Linked DNA regions of Pelodiscus sinensis. The protein of the gene in region 1 interacts with the protein of each later gene in a pairwise test. Links are inferred from orthologs where the notes say so. Each region holds a gene or a part of one and is shown on either strand. Other genes may lie near its edges.

Region 1 (7,540 bases):
GCCGCTTGATGGGCCAGATTCGGCCCGCGGAGGCTCTTTTGCCCACCCCAGTGTAATTGACATTTCCAATTTCAAAAGAAGCTATGCAATTGATGTAGCTCAATTTGCGTAGCTTATTTTGTGTTAAACCCTGCTGTATATACGCATCGTAAGGAATCTGTTTTGAGGTTTTTGAGTTAATGATGAGAAAAGACTCTTGCATTTTCCAGCTTGTTTTCTCCCATCACTGAAAAACAACCAAAGGATTTTTACTTTAAGGGAAAAAAAATCTTTTTTTCTAATAAGAATTACCTTCACAAAGGAGATACATTCAGCAAGTTCTGTGCAAAGGCAAAAGGGTGCTTTAACGTGGAACTCTGTATAACTAATTTCTACAAGCATCTAATAAAAAGCATCTATTATAGTCATCTAGGTAACTAGGAAATAATCTTGAAGTTAACCAATGGCTGTTTTTTGGAGTTTTGAGAATGTATTTTTGTGGGGGGTTTTGGGTGGGGGAAGTGTGAAGAGATGGAAGATGTCTCTCTGGAACCTTTCACTGTGCTAATTTCATGCACAAAGAAAGCTAAGTAGATGAAAAACCGAAACAGGATAATCCGGGTGAAGTTCCTTGTTGCGCATTTCATATTTGCTTATGTGAGTCTGGCTCTGCCGTACAGTGACTCCTTTCATGAAAATCCTTAATTAGCTTTTCAAGAGGGAGGGTAGGGTGTGTATATACTTTCCACTGATTTGGCTATAAAGACAGCATTACTTAAAATGGGGAAGGGGGTGGATCAAGGTTAAGGGATGTGAAAGCCTTCCCGTCAGCCAATCCCCATGCTACACTGATATCCACCCCCCTGCCCCTCCAATCCCTTGTTTGGCTTCTTTGTTTCACTGCCTCCCCTCCATTCTGTACTGAAACTCAGTGAGCTCCTTGATGCATTTTTTTTTCAGACCAGTCGTCATGGTTCACTGAGCTGCTATTGTGATGTCTTCTGAGATGTAGGGCAGTTTCCCCTCCAATGACTCAAAATGTTATTTTGCTCTTAAAAGAAAAAAAAATACCTTGTATACGTGGTACATTTCCACTCAGCAAAGCGGTTCCTATTGTGCATTTGGAGGATTTTGTGCTGACTTCAGTGATGATAAGGTTGCATTGCTTTCTTGCTCTTTTGCTGGCTTTGCAGGGCTGTGTGGGGGAGCAGGCTGGACACAATTTGTCCTTGAGGATTATCGCTAAAATTGTTTACTAGGTTCCAGTAAGTTACAGCTGTGCAAACCCAATGAAGGCCATGAGCTTCCACGAGTGTTCCTAAAGTCATAACTGGAAGACAATAGGGTTGCTGCCAGAAGTAGCTGAAAGCACAAGTTTGTTGTGCAAAACCTTTATTGCTGATTATGATTATACGAAGCTGCTGCTGTTGATCTTCCAGAGTTCGAATTAGCAGTGTATTTAAGATAGTTAATTCGAAGTGAGAGGGGCACTCCGGTTGATGCTGCCAACCCTGCTTTCACAAGGAGTAAGGGAAGTCGAAGGAAGAGTGTTCTTCCTTTGACTTCCTGCAGTGTAGAAAGCGCCAAAAATTGAGTTAAGGTACTTTGACTTCAGCTACGCAATTAATGTAGCTGAAGTTGTGTATCTTAACTTGTCCTGTAGTGTAGACAAACCCCCAGAGTCCAAACTGTATAGCAGGGATTGACATCCTATGGCACGTATGCCACTTATGGCATGTGAGCCGATTTTAAGCAGCATGAGGGAGGGAGCTCAGCCCTATCGCCTCCTTCCCCGCTGCTACTGTGGCGCACACAGTTGGGGCCAGCCCTGGAGGCTGGAGGCAGTGGGTCCTCTGGGGCTGGCTCCTGTCTGTGGTGGAAGCGTCAGTGGGGCCTGCAGGTTGGCTCAGGACAGCATGGTTGCAGCAGTTGTCAAGTAAGTGTCCCTCCTTATGCCCAAACCCCCACATCCCAATCCCCCTCACTCACCTCCCCCCACCAAGACCCTACACTTCCAGCTTGCTCCAATGCCCTCACTTGTTCCTGCATCCTCTCTCCTAGCTAGACACTACACCCCTATCTTGCTCCTGCACCCTCCCTCCTGGCCTGGCCAGACACATAGCCCCACCCTGCTCCTGTATCCACCATTGCTCCTGTACGCTCTCTCTGGCCACACACTGCACCCTCCCTTGTCCCTGCTCTCTCCACCAGCCGACATCCTACTCCCAGCCTGCTTCTGCACCCCACCTCCCAACTTTTCCCCCTTCTGCACCCCATACCTATCCTACTTGCTGGCAACTCTGTCTCACACACTAAACCCCTCATTTTTGTCCCTACTCCAGAACCTAAGGGGGTTCATAAAATCCTCCAATTCCAGAATGCCAGAAAAGTAAATCTGGCCTACAGGAAACCCTGAACCTCAGTCCTCCCTGTTCCTTCCCCTTGCCCTGTGAGGTTGGAGCACTAGGGAGTGAGGTGTTTCAGTTGGGGGCTATATCAGTGAGGGTTAGTAGGGTTTTTTTGCTTCTCACTGTGTGGTCTCCAACTGGTTTTTCTGTGGGTCAGTGGCTCCCCAACTCAAAAAAGGTTCCCTATCCCTGCCATAAACAAAGAAAACATTGAAACCTTTTGTGTTGGACATAATATTTTACTTTAAATAAGGTGAAGTTTAATAAACTAACATGAGAAAGTTAAATGCTTAATCTGTTTCATAATTTAAATTGAACTGTTCTCCCTAGCTGCAGCTGGTTCAGAAAATATGGTCACCGTACCCAGATCAGTGAATAAGTTAAATCTGGCATATCACTTCTGAAAGGTTGCTGACCCCTGCTGTACTGTATGGTTAGCAATATGGAAAACATGTAATTATATCTGAATGCACCTCAAACAGCAAGGGGCGGGGGGCAACAGAAGAGGGGACAAAGCTAGCATGGCAGAGAGAGGGGTCATAGAAGAACAGGTTGCCCTAGTGGCAGGACTGGTAGAGCAAGGAAATGGGCAACAGGGGTGGGGATGAAGGGAAGTGAGAGACAGTTAGGGGCAGGATGGCACAGCAGGGAGGGGAAAGTGAGGAGCAGTCCTGGCACAGGGAGAGAAGTGCTGTGGGGGAGTAAGAAGTGGTGGGGAGGGGAGGAGAAAGCTGGCACAGCAGCCCAAGAGCAGGGAAAGTGGGGACAGAGTTGGCACAGATAGGGTTGCCAGGTGTCCGGTTTTGAACCAGACAGTCCGGTTTTTGAGCTTTCTGTCCGGGAAACAAATTGAGAAAATACCGGACATATAAATGTCTGGTATTTTCTAATTAAGTAAGTTTTATTATCATGATTATCAGTACATAGTTGCGTACTGCGTGAGCGTGTGTACTCACCAGGCAGTATACAATTACACAATAGAGAGGAGGGGGGCGGGGCCGGGATGGAAGGCCAGGACTGTGTGAGGGATGGGCTGCACCCCAGGATCTATGTTTGCCTGGACCAGCCCTGCTTCCTCCCAACCTCCTCTGGGCCAGCCCTGCTTCCTGCCAGCTGTGCCCTGCTCCCCTCCCAATCGGTCCCCACCGCCATCTGAGATCAAGTGTGTTGGGTATTTTTCTGAAAACATCTGGTAACCCTAGGCACAGAAAGGATGTGAGAAAATGGGGGTGGTGGTGAGGTCAGAGCTGGTACAGCAGGGGAGGCAGGGTGAGGAAGTCACAGGGCAAGACTAGCATGGCAGTGGAGCGCTGGGGGAGCAGCGGGTGCTGCAGCAAAGGGAGGGGCTGTGGAAGAGCAGGGGGCACAGGAGGGCAGGGCTGTGGGCAAAGAGGCAGCGGTGGGGGCTGGCGGCAGGGCACGAATGCAGGGGTGGGCGGGGAGAGGAGCTGTGGGGTGCAAGGCTGGCACTGTGGGGTAGGGGATGAGAAGGGGCACTGGGGGCAGGGCTAGCACTGGGGGGGATGAGGAAGTGGGGGGAGCACAGGGCTGGCGCTGCAGGGAGGGGGGCGAGCTGGGGGCAGGGCTGATTGGGCGGCTGACGTTGCAGCTAGCCGCCTCGCGCCCCCTCTCCCCCTTCAGCCGAGAAGCGCAGCTCCTGGGCCTGCAGTTTGCATCGCTCTCGCTCTAACCAATGGTAGCTCACAGCGCACGTGAATTTGCGGTATCAGCCAATCAATGCTTCACATGCCCACGTGGTGATCCCCGTGCCGCGCCGAGCCCACCGGTCTGTGCCAGACCAAAGGCGGGAACATCCCGCCCGCGCCAGTTTCTGCGTGGCGTGACGTCACTTCGCGTCAATGAGGCATAGAGTCAGGGTGATGGGTACACTGCACAATATAGCCCCCTGTAATTCTTCCGCCGAGTGTTGGCTGGTCCCCTCGGCAGTGCGCGTGACCACGCGAATCACCTCTCCCGTCCCCGGGAGTCTTCCGGCAATCGGGGGATGGCAGCGGGGCACAGAGCGCTGCGCACCACCCGGCATTTGTGAGCGCGCGCGGTGAATCTGGCGGAAGGATACAGCGAAACCGGATCTCATTTTGTGGGGGGGAGGGGAAAAGGGCGGTATATAAGCGGGGAACGCGCGAGCCACCCTCTCATTGTCTGTCTGTCTAGTGCGTCGTGTGTTCTGTGCGTGGGCGCAGGCGGGACCCGACCCGGAGCAGCCTTGCCGCCGCCGCCATGGCTTGGTAAGGGCGGCAGGGCCAGCAGCGGCATCGGCCAGTGCAGCGGGCGCAGCAACAGCAGCGGCGTCCACGGCCCCTCCCCGGCATCTGCAGCCATGGCGTGAGTATGGGGGCGGGGCGGGGCCCCCCATCGGCAACGATCTGGCCGAGTGGGAAAGGGGCGTAAGTGAGCCGGGAAGCCCTCCCCCCCCCATGTTAGCGAATGGCTTTTCCCGCGGGGGGTGGGCCGAAATGGTATAGCCCGTAGGGGAGTGAATTGGTCGCTCCCGAAGGAGGGACGCAGGGACGGGCCTTGGGACGCTCCATTGCGCCCTTCCCTCCCTGCCCTGCTAGGGAGCGCGCGAGTTGCTGGGAGGCACCATATGGAGTGGGATGGGGGGGGGGGGTGAATTCCTGTGATCCGCTTAGCCCGGGAGAACCCATTCCTTATGGAAGGGGGGGGCATTGCGGTGGATTGTCCCTCTCGCCCCTGCTCCTCGCGCTTGCGGGTCCCTGGGGCTCCGCTGTTGGGGGGCGGGGGGAGCGAGGCTGCAGCTGGGGGCTGCCCATTCAGCTTCCCGCTCCCCTGTGCGCCCTGGCGGGGTTTGTAGGCGAAGTCCCACGTTCTCCTCCGATGCCCGCTCTAGGGCTGCAGGGAGCGTTTCCCTTCCCGCTGTGTCGCGCCGCTTTGCTCCTGGTCCGCCTGCTAGATGCCAGGTGCTGCCCCCGTGGAAACGTGGCAGGATACACAAAATGGCCGCCTATTGCTAGGGCGGGGTGAGCGAGCACACAGGCAGGAACGCGAAATGGCTGCAGCAGCTGGCATAGGCGCAAGTCCAGCAATGCAGGCATGAGTCACAGCAGATGGGTGGGAGGGGCTCTCGCAGGAGATGTGACCATATTTGGTCATGAGGAAACTTGAGTGGCCCTTTCTGTTGAGACTTCACAAGCACCATCTTAGTTACCAGATGGCGCTATTGGGGTGAGAGTTCTGAGACCGGCAAGAAGGGTGCAAAATGCAAAAATGTGGCTCACAGGAGATCCTGAAAAGAGGGAAACCCCAGTTTGGTTAGTGTTCCATAACATGGTTTATATAGTTGAAAACTCCCTTTTTCCACCAGTAGAAAACATACAGTTTAAGTCAAATCACACAAATGGCTGTGCTATATAACAGATGATCTTCTGTCTTTAATTCCAGGTTTTTCAAAGCACCTCACAGCAGCATTGCTGTAATTGACAAAGACACCTACTCATCTACATTCTTTGAGCAAAAAGCATTAACATTTGACCAAGATGAGCCTCTTGAACACGGATATGCTGTTGGGGGGTTTAAAGTCCCCCTTCAGCCAGTGGTGTTTGGTGGCTGAGGAAAGTCTGGGACTTCTAGATGACTACCTGGAGGTGGCCAAGCCCCTCAGTTCGCATGGGTTCTCCAGCGACAAGGCTAAGGCAGTCTCCTCCAATTGGCTGGCTGAGGATAGTTTGGGCAAAACCACAGATGACAGCCAGGGTAAGGCATTACTTTATTCTCACAGGATTATAGTGTTCAATTAGCAAGTGTTTGCATATCTCATCATTCATTGATGTTGATCAGTGAGCTATTTAAATGGATGAAAAGCAGTGTATTGAGAATCAAGAGCATCTCCATCCCTGTTCCGTATGTGGCTCAAAAGGCTATTCTTTGGGGAAGGAGCCTACAACATGCGAATGTGTTGCTTTCAGGTAGCTCTTAAAATCTTTCCAATTCTATAGAGCTTGAAGGAACCAGAGAAATGGCACGTTACAAATCACTATCAGGAATATTTTGTCCTTTTTTAGTAAAGCTCTGCAACCCACTCCACAATAAATATCAGGTGGGGAAAACAACCACACCAGCTTGGAGTCAGGTTGATTCAGCATCTTGGTCCAATCGGATATCTCATTGCTGTGGAGTGTGCACAAAGGATAGGAGTGGAGCTGCCAAACTTCTGATTTTTCTGTAACCCCGTAAGGAGGGGAAAAGAGTGAAGCTGAGCTGGGGTTAGGACCCTTTTGGATCAGGTGGGTTTGGGTCCAGTCTGGGTCAAGCTTAATTAATCTGGAGCAGACATCTATTGTTTAGAACATATGATTAGATTTGTCTATCAGAGAAATGAATGGAGAAAAAATCCACAATATAGCATGCAGTTTTTTCAGTAGCCTTTTGAATTGATTGTGTGACTGCTGTACTCGTATGGTAATTGTTTCCCCATGTTGCAGAGGATGCCTTCTCTGGCATGGATTGGATGGTGGAGAAGATGGATCTGAAGGAGTTCGACTTTGATGCCCTGTTAGGAATGGATGACTTGGAAACCACCGTCTCTCCAGATGAGCTCATGGCCACGTTGGAAGACACGTGTGATCTATTAGACCCTCCTACCCAGGAAATTCCCAACAAAGAACCTTCACTGATAACTGACCCAATCATTCATCACCCTGAATCTCCAATTGGAGTAGATCAGGTGGCCTCACTTGCCCCCCTTCTGCCTCTTCACCTCTCTCCAGAGTCCTTGACTTCTACTCCAGACCATTCATTTAGTTTAGATCTAGGTAGTGAAGTTGATGTACTGGAAGGAGACAAAAAAGCAGAAGCCACCACATTCGTGGTGGTGGTGATCCCCAAGTTTGAGAAAGAGGAGGAAGTACATTCAGATAATGATAGTGGAATATGTATGAGCCCAGAGTCTTATCTGGGGACACCCCAACACAGTCCAGTCACCTCTGTAGAATCGTTCAATGACAGCCAGTTTCCTGCAGACCCCATTTGTGGTTCTATGCGGCCCAAACCATATGATCATCCTGTAGAGAAAGTAGTGTTGGCAAAGGTGAAGGGAGAAAAAAGGGTTGATAAGAAATTGAAGAAAATGGAGCAGAATAAGACAGCTGCTACACGTTATCGGCAGAAGAAAA
Region 2 (7,109 bases), on another chromosome or scaffold:
CCAGGAGGCAGCACTGCTCAGGCAGAGCAAGGCAAAGGGAGGGATGGGTCTGGCGTCTCCCCATCCGGGCCGCTCGCAGACGCCCAGTCCTTTCCCATGGCCCACAGGTTGGAAGGTGGAGCTGATACTGGGGGGGGGGGGCAGGGACAGCTGTGGCCGCCCCTTTGCCAATGCCATTCTCTGCAGCCAGAGCCCGTGGGGCCCCCGAGGGCCACTAGCCCCCTTTGCCAGTCAAAACGGGCTGTTGCCCGGGAGGCTGGTGCAGGGCAAACTGCTGTGCAGGAGTCCCCGGGGGGCTCTCAGCAGCATTCCCCCAAAACGACCCGGATCCCACAGCCTGCCCCCCGGCCCGTACTCTCCGTAGCGTCAGGCTCCGATGTCCTGCTCCGGGGGAGCAAGGCCAGGCCCCATCACCCCACTGTACCTTGCAGCTGTACTCCGTCTCCGTGGGCCTGTGCACCGCCCTGTAGGAGCGGCCCCCGTCCTGGGGCTCCAGAAGGATGTACGGGCCAATCTGCAGGACTCTGGAGTCCTGGTCCGCAGCACACGGGGTCCGGGCGAGGGGCTGCAGGCATGGCGTGAGCCCTGACACCGGACTCAACCGGGGGCGCTTGGGCTTCGGGGCCTCCGAATCAGGGGGGTCCTCGAAGTCCAGCCGCTTCTTCCTCAGCGGAGACACCGCAGGGATCACCTGGACGTTCAGGCTCATCTGCAGCACAAGAAGATGAAGCGGTTGCAGCGCAAAGCTAGCCACTTAGAGAGAGAACCTGGGAGGCCCCTGCTCTGTGCCGCCCCCACGACGCTCTAGGAGCACAGCTCTTTCCCAGCGTGCTGAGAGCACCTAGCGCCTGGCCAGGGAGACCTGGGTGGAGTGGCCATGTGCCATGGGAACATACGTACACAGCCAGGCTGGGTCAGACCAATGACCCATCCAGACCAGTGTCCTGTCTGCCCAGTGGCCCCAGGGGAGGGAACAGAACAGGGAATAATCCAGTGATCCCTCCCCTGACACCCATTTCCAGCCTCTCAAACAGGTTAAGGACACCATTCCTATCCAGCCTGGCTAATAGCCATTGATGGACCTAACCTCCATGAATTTATCTAGCTCTTTTTTGAACCCTGTTCAAGTCCTGGTCTTCACAACCTCCTCTGGCGAGGAGTTCCACAGGTTGTGTGCTGCATGAAGAAAAACTTCCTTTTGTTTGCTTTAAACATGCTACCTATTCATATCAATGGTTGACCTCTAGTTCTTATGGGAACAAGTAAATAACTTGTCCTTAGTCTCTCTCTCCACACCGGTCATGATTTTATTAGACCTCTGTCCTCTCCCCCCTTAGCCTCCTCTTTTCTGAGCTGAAAAGTCCCAGTCTTTTTAATCTCCCCTCAAATGGCAGCCATTCCAAACCCTGCATCATTTCTGTTGCCCTTTTCTGAACCTTTCCCAGATGTGGGCTACCATGGATTTATACAGAGGCAAGGAGATATTCTGTCCTATTCTCTATCCCCTTTCGAATGATTCCCAACATTGTTTGCTCTTTTGCCAGCTGCTGCACATGGAGTGGATGTTTGCGGAGAACTCTCCAGATGTGCTATATTTAGCTCTTGATTTCCAATTTTACAGTCTTAAACATTCAGTTTTGATCAGATGCTTCTGCTCCCTGGGCAGGTCTGTGGCACCCAGAGCGAGGAACTCAGGCCTCATGAACTACAGAGACAACCCCGACTGGAAGACAGGCCTACGCTAAGCGCGAGTGTCTCCCCAGCCAGCGGCGAAGTGTCTGCGCGGGGGAGCGACCGGCCACCCCCTGCCATCCTGTCCAGAGTGGCAAAGGCTCCAGCCAGGCTGCGCCGGGGGGCATGTCTGAGGATGTCGCGCATTCACAGCTGCTGATGTAATGACACTGCCTCACAGTGTAATAATGGGGAGAGTGTGTCATGGCCGTGTGTCTCCCTTGTGTCACAACAGTGAGCGCACGTGTGTCTCACAGGGTCCCCGTGGTGAGTGCACGGGTGTGCCAGCGCCATGGGGGTGTGTCACCATGTAACACAGTGATGGGAGGGGGCACATGCCAGTGTCTCTCGGCCTAGGGGTGCGGGGGGGGGGGGTTTGGCCAGGGAGGGGGGTGAGTCCCGGTGTGTGTCAGCGCATGACAGGGAGGGGGTCTGGCGGTGTAACAATAGCGGTGAATGGGTGTCTGGCGATGGGGGGCGCCCCCCCAGCCGTGAGCCCCCCGCTGCCTGCACCGAGCCCTGCCTGCTCTCTGGCGCCGATCGCTCCCCCGTCCCGCTGGGCAGTGCCCGGCTGCCGCCTAGTTACCGTTCCCGGCACCGGCTGGCAATGGGGGGCCCTTCCCCGCCAGACCCCCCCCGCTCCTACCCGTGCGCGCTGCCCGCTCCCCGGACCCTGCAGCCTCCAGCGCCCGCCCGGCCCTGCCGGCTCCGATCCCGGCCGGCCAGGGCGACTCCGCCCCAGCCCCGCAGCGCCCGAGTCGGGCTGGAACCCGAGCGCGCCCCGCGCCCCGCGCCCCGCTTTGTACCTTCGGGCGGGGACGGAGCGATCCCGCCGCAGGCCGGGTCCGGGGAGCCCGGAGGGTCCTGCCCCCGGAGTCTCAGACGCCCCGGTTCTCCATGGTCCCGGGCGGCTCTGCGCCGGGGGTCCTGGCCCCGGCCGGGGGGCTGCCGCCGGGCTCCGCGGCTTTACGCGCGGGGCTGGCGCCGGGGCAGGCTGGCACGTCAGCCGGGGCCGATCTTCCTGCCGCTCTCCTCTCCCTCCGGCTGCCCTCTCCCGCGCCGGCTGATGCCGAACTCACTCCGGATTGCAACATCCCCGCCCGAGGCCCGCCCCTTTGCTTTCCCTTCCATGATGACACCGGGCGCTGGGCGCTTGCAATACCCCGGCCGAGCGGAACTGCGCCACGCCGCGCCGGATTACTCAGACCCGCCGCCGGATTACAGCAGGGTTACACGGGCACTGCCCCCCTCCCCGGCCGGCTGCTGGGCTTGGACCCCCCCCCTGCCCGGCCTGCCTTTGGGGATCTGGCACAGCAAGCCCAGAGCCAAACCTCTGTGCGGGGGGAAGGGAGAGGCAGAGCCCTGCCCTTCATGTGGCAGATCAGCCGCCTAGTGACCCACACGGTGCCCCCAGAGCTGCCCCTCCCCCTGCACTGGGACCGGCCCCTGTGCAGAGCGAGTCTAAGTGTGAACGCTCCCCTCCCCCGCTCCGAGTCCCTCTTGCCCAGCCTCCTGCTGCTGTTGGCGAGGCAGCCGGGCGGACTGGTCTCTGCCCCCCGGCACACGCCGGCCTCGCCATGGAGCGAACCGAGGCGGTGCCAGATTGTGGGGGGCGCCACTTGGACCCAGAGTGTAGAAAATTGTGTCCGCTGCTGGCGCAGAGGTAGGCAGGAGAGCCCCCACGAGGGGAGCAGAACAGGAAGGAGGCGCAATTGAGACCAAGCGAGGGGGCCAGGGGACGTCATTTGAGCTCCCCGCCTCGGTGCCAGCATGTGGGCCAGGTGCCAAAATGTTGCGGGCCAGCCCCGCCCCGGATCAGGGCCGCATTATGACTTTCGTGGGCCCTAGGCACTTTTGTCTTCGTGGGCCCCTCCCACCATAATAATATCAATACTAAAAATGATTTTTTATCTCACTTTAAATACGTCAACATTTTATTTCTTTTCTGTTTTAGGCAAAATGTAAGAGATTTTCGTGGGCCCTAAAAGTTTCCTTTTTTTCTGATGTGAGAAAAAAATTAAAACATTTTCTTCCACCCTAAAAGTTCAGTTTTTTCCTTCTGATTTGAGACAGAAATTAAAACATTTTCGTGGGCCCCTAAAAGCATCGTGGGCCCTAGGCACTGTGCCGAATGGCCTAATGGATACGTCGGCCCTGCCCACGGATCTCCCAAAGCAGAGGGCGGTGAGGGCAGGGACCGTGTGAGGCAGCCGCGGGCGCTCACACGTCCTGGTGCATGCAGATGGTGCCTGCAAGGTCTCCTGGTTCACTTTGGATTAGCCTGATTGCGCCCCCCTCGCTGCCGTGCCAATCACTAGCCCAAAATGGAGCCTGCGAGTCTGCAACGGTCACCTGGCCAGTGGTCTTGAGCCCCTGGCGGGAGTGCGCCAGCCTGTGACCGCCCTGCACCCCTACTCACCCTGCCTGTCACCATGTGTGACAGGCCACGCACACCAGCCCCCACGTGAACCAGGGACGGGTCTCAGAGGGGCAGCTGGCAGAGCCTGTAACTTAAAATAACGTAAAGAAGGACGAGTGGCACTGTAGCCCCATGGGGCATGTCTACACTAGGAAATCATTTCAAAGGAATAACTCCCAAAATAACTCTTTCGAACTAGCGTGTCCACCCGGCAGGGAAGCCACGAAATGCGTCGGAGGCAGGCTCCCTTAAGTGGACGCGCTGCCTCGCCTTCGAGCCCCAGCACGACTGGCGCGTCATCGCTTCGAACCGCTCGGGGGAGTCGTCATTTCGAAAGAGCGGCGGCGGCGCGCCCACACGGCCCCTCTGTCGAAAGAACTAGTTCAAAATTAGCAGGAGGAAAGCAGGAGATATGATTTTGAAATAACCAGCCCCTTATTTTGAAACCACAGGCTTGGCCATGCGGACGCGCCGCTTGCTATTTCGAGAGAAGGGGGGTTATGTTGGACTAACTCCCCGGTGCAGAGTAGGGCTCCGACACTCACAAAGAATATCGACAGCATCGTGCATTTTGTGGGCACAGCCCACTTCTTCACATGATGAGTGACGGGTGTGCACCGGGGTGTTATACTGAGAAGCAGGCTGAGAATAAGGTGACCCGGAGGCCTGACTCCAAAGGCCACCTGGAGCTGCACAGAGCAGCTGCAGGTGAGTCAGAGCAGGCATATTCTGCCCCGCCCCCGTCTAATTTCCCTTTCTAATGACTTTCCATTGCCGTGGGGCAAACCCACCGGAGCCCTGAGTTTCGCTCCCAGCCAGCATCACGGATCCTACTCTCTCCTGTTAGCTGTGCTGGCCCCACGGCGAGCCGGCCAACTGGAGCAAATCCACCCACGTTTCTGGCACTACATTAGGACATCGGTGGCTACAATTTGCTCCTGGCCAGTTGAGCCTGGTTGTTCTTCTGCCAACGTGGCCCTTCCTCCTGGGGGGTAGCCCCGATGTAGCTGTAGGGGGCCGGCAGATCCCCTGCTAGGCGAATCAAGCCAAGCTCTCTCGTCTCTGCTCAGAGGGCAGCTCCCCCCCCCCCCATCCCCTGACCGTCCTGCGAGCCCTTCTCTGCGCCTGCTCCAGCCTGAATCCGTCTGGCTTGAACACGGATGCCCCGGGGGGGACGCGGGATTCTAGGCGTGGCAGCCCCGGCTTGCAATCTGGCAGCACGCCAGGGCAAGCCCCCCAGCTTTTGCCCAGAGTTGTGTTGGGAGAGATTCTCAAGAGCCCGGAGCGCTCAGGGCCCTGGTTTCCATCGGGGGTCAAGGCAAGAGCAAAGTGAATCGGCGGAAGGAGAGGCGGCCGTCCCCTGCGGCAGCAGCCTGGTTTCTCTTTCATATCGCACGCCTGTTACGTCTGTGACCAGGCGCCCTGCCAGGGGAGGTGCTCCGGGGAGGGGCTGGCCGCAAGTGCTCCCAGGCTGCTCTGCCTGCCCCTAGGAGATGAGCCAGGATAGGACCTTTCTTTGTAGCGTGCCAAGTTTTTGGCAAGGCACCCTGCCCCGGCCCGGAGCTGGCCGGCCCACGCGGGCTCCATGCAGAACACGGTGGGTCGGTGTCCACACAGAGGCTGTGTCCAGACTCAGGGGTTTTTTCGAAAAAACTTCCCCTGCGTCCAGACTCAAGCCGCGTTCTTTCGAAATTAATTCAAAAGAACGCGGCTTTTCTTTCGATGGCGGTAAACCTCATTTCACGAGGAAGAACGCCTTCTTTCGAAAGTTCCTCTTGTATGTAAATAAGGCTTCTTCAAAAGAGAGCATCCAGACTCACTGGATGCTTTCTTTCGAAAAAGCAAGCCGCTTTTTCGAAATTTCTCCGTGCAGTCTAGACGCTCTCTTTCGAAAGAGCCTCTTTCGAAAGAAGCCTGCAGTCTAGATATAGCCAGACACAGGAAGCCTGTTGGGATCTAGCCGGAAGAGTTTGCTGCGCTCACTGAGTCCCAGCGGGCAGGGCACCGCGAGGAAATGATTTCCAAATCGTTCAAAATCCCTCCCGAAATCACCCCGTCGAACCAGCCTGTCCCCACCACAGGGGGAGCCTCGACATGAGTCCGAGGCAGCTCCGTTACTGTGCACGCGCTCCTCGACTTAGCGCCTTGGGAGCACTGAGGAGCCCTTACTTGCAGTGACTCTGGGGAGTGGTTATTTCGAAAGGGCGGCGGTGGTGCGGCCGCAGGGCCATTGCGAAACAAGCGCTCTGCCCCGAGGAAAGCAGGAGTCCCGGTCTCGAAATAAGCTTGGCAGAGTGGACGCTCCGCTTGCTATTTCGAAATCACTCCCTGGCGTAGACCAGGGCAGCGAGAGCTGGCAAGACCGCCCCTTTCGGCCCTGCAGCGGGAGCAGTCGAGGAAGCATTTCCATCCCTGTGCAGAGTGGAGCTTTGTCGGTTTCGTTCTGACCGTCCCTCAGTGGGAGGCAGAGCCCATGTTATTTCTCAGGCCGGTTCCTTTATTCCCTGGGCGGCAGGATCTAGGGGCCTCTGGGGGGAGAGAGCACGTTTCCAAAACCACAGAGCAGCAGAACGGTTCCCAAGGGAGCCCCGTGCAGTGTTCCTGGTTTGGGGGGCTGCAGTGCTGTACGAATAGGGGAGGGGGTGCAAAGCAAGGGGGCTCCCCGTGCATTTGGGGATCCTCAAAGCTCTGCCAAGTTTGTGACACTCCTTCCTGAGCACTTCCCTGACACAGGAGCAGCGTGATCTTTGAGCCATTCCCGTTCCAGGCAGTTCCTTCCAGAGAAACGCTGCCTCCATCCTGCTCGGGGTGATGAGCGGCTCTTTTTCCTTCCGGACTTTTTCCCTGGAACACGCGCTGATGAACAGCCAGCCAGGTTAGGCAGAGCTGAGCTCATCCCGGACTCAGGGGGTTGGGCACCCCAGGCCCTGGCTGCAAACCCTCTGCAGGCAGCCAACCC

The links. The genes of interacting proteins can lie anywhere in the genome.
Region 2: the proteins of ATF4 (region 1) and TRIB3 interact in binary tests that used the Homo sapiens proteins (3 or more experiments, as listed by UniProt). The link is inferred for Pelodiscus sinensis from reciprocal best matches to the Homo sapiens genes ATF4 and TRIB3.

Annotation. Positions count from the first base shown.
Region 1 is NC_134711.1:90,961,924-90,969,463, reverse strand, and holds the start of ATF4 (cyclic AMP-dependent transcription factor ATF-4), read left to right. Parts: upstream 1-4,538; 5' UTR 4,539-4,733; intron 4,734-5,810; 5' UTR 5,811-5,905; coding exon 5,906-6,122; intron 6,123-6,850; coding exon 6,851-7,540. UniProt on the Homo sapiens protein: Transcription factor that binds the cAMP response element (CRE) (consensus: 5'-GTGACGT[AC][AG]-3') and displays two biological functions, as regulator of metabolic and redox processes under normal cellular conditions, and as master transcription factor during integrated stress response (ISR).
Region 2 is NC_134728.1:2,015,956-2,023,064, reverse strand, and holds the start of TRIB3 (tribbles homolog 3), read right to left. Parts: upstream 3,015-7,109; 5' UTR 2,538-3,014; intron 710-2,537; coding exon 425-709; intron 1-424. UniProt on the Homo sapiens protein: Inactive protein kinase which acts as a regulator of the integrated stress response (ISR), a process for adaptation to various stress. Inhibits the transcriptional activity of DDIT3/CHOP and is involved in DDIT3/CHOP-dependent cell death during ER stress.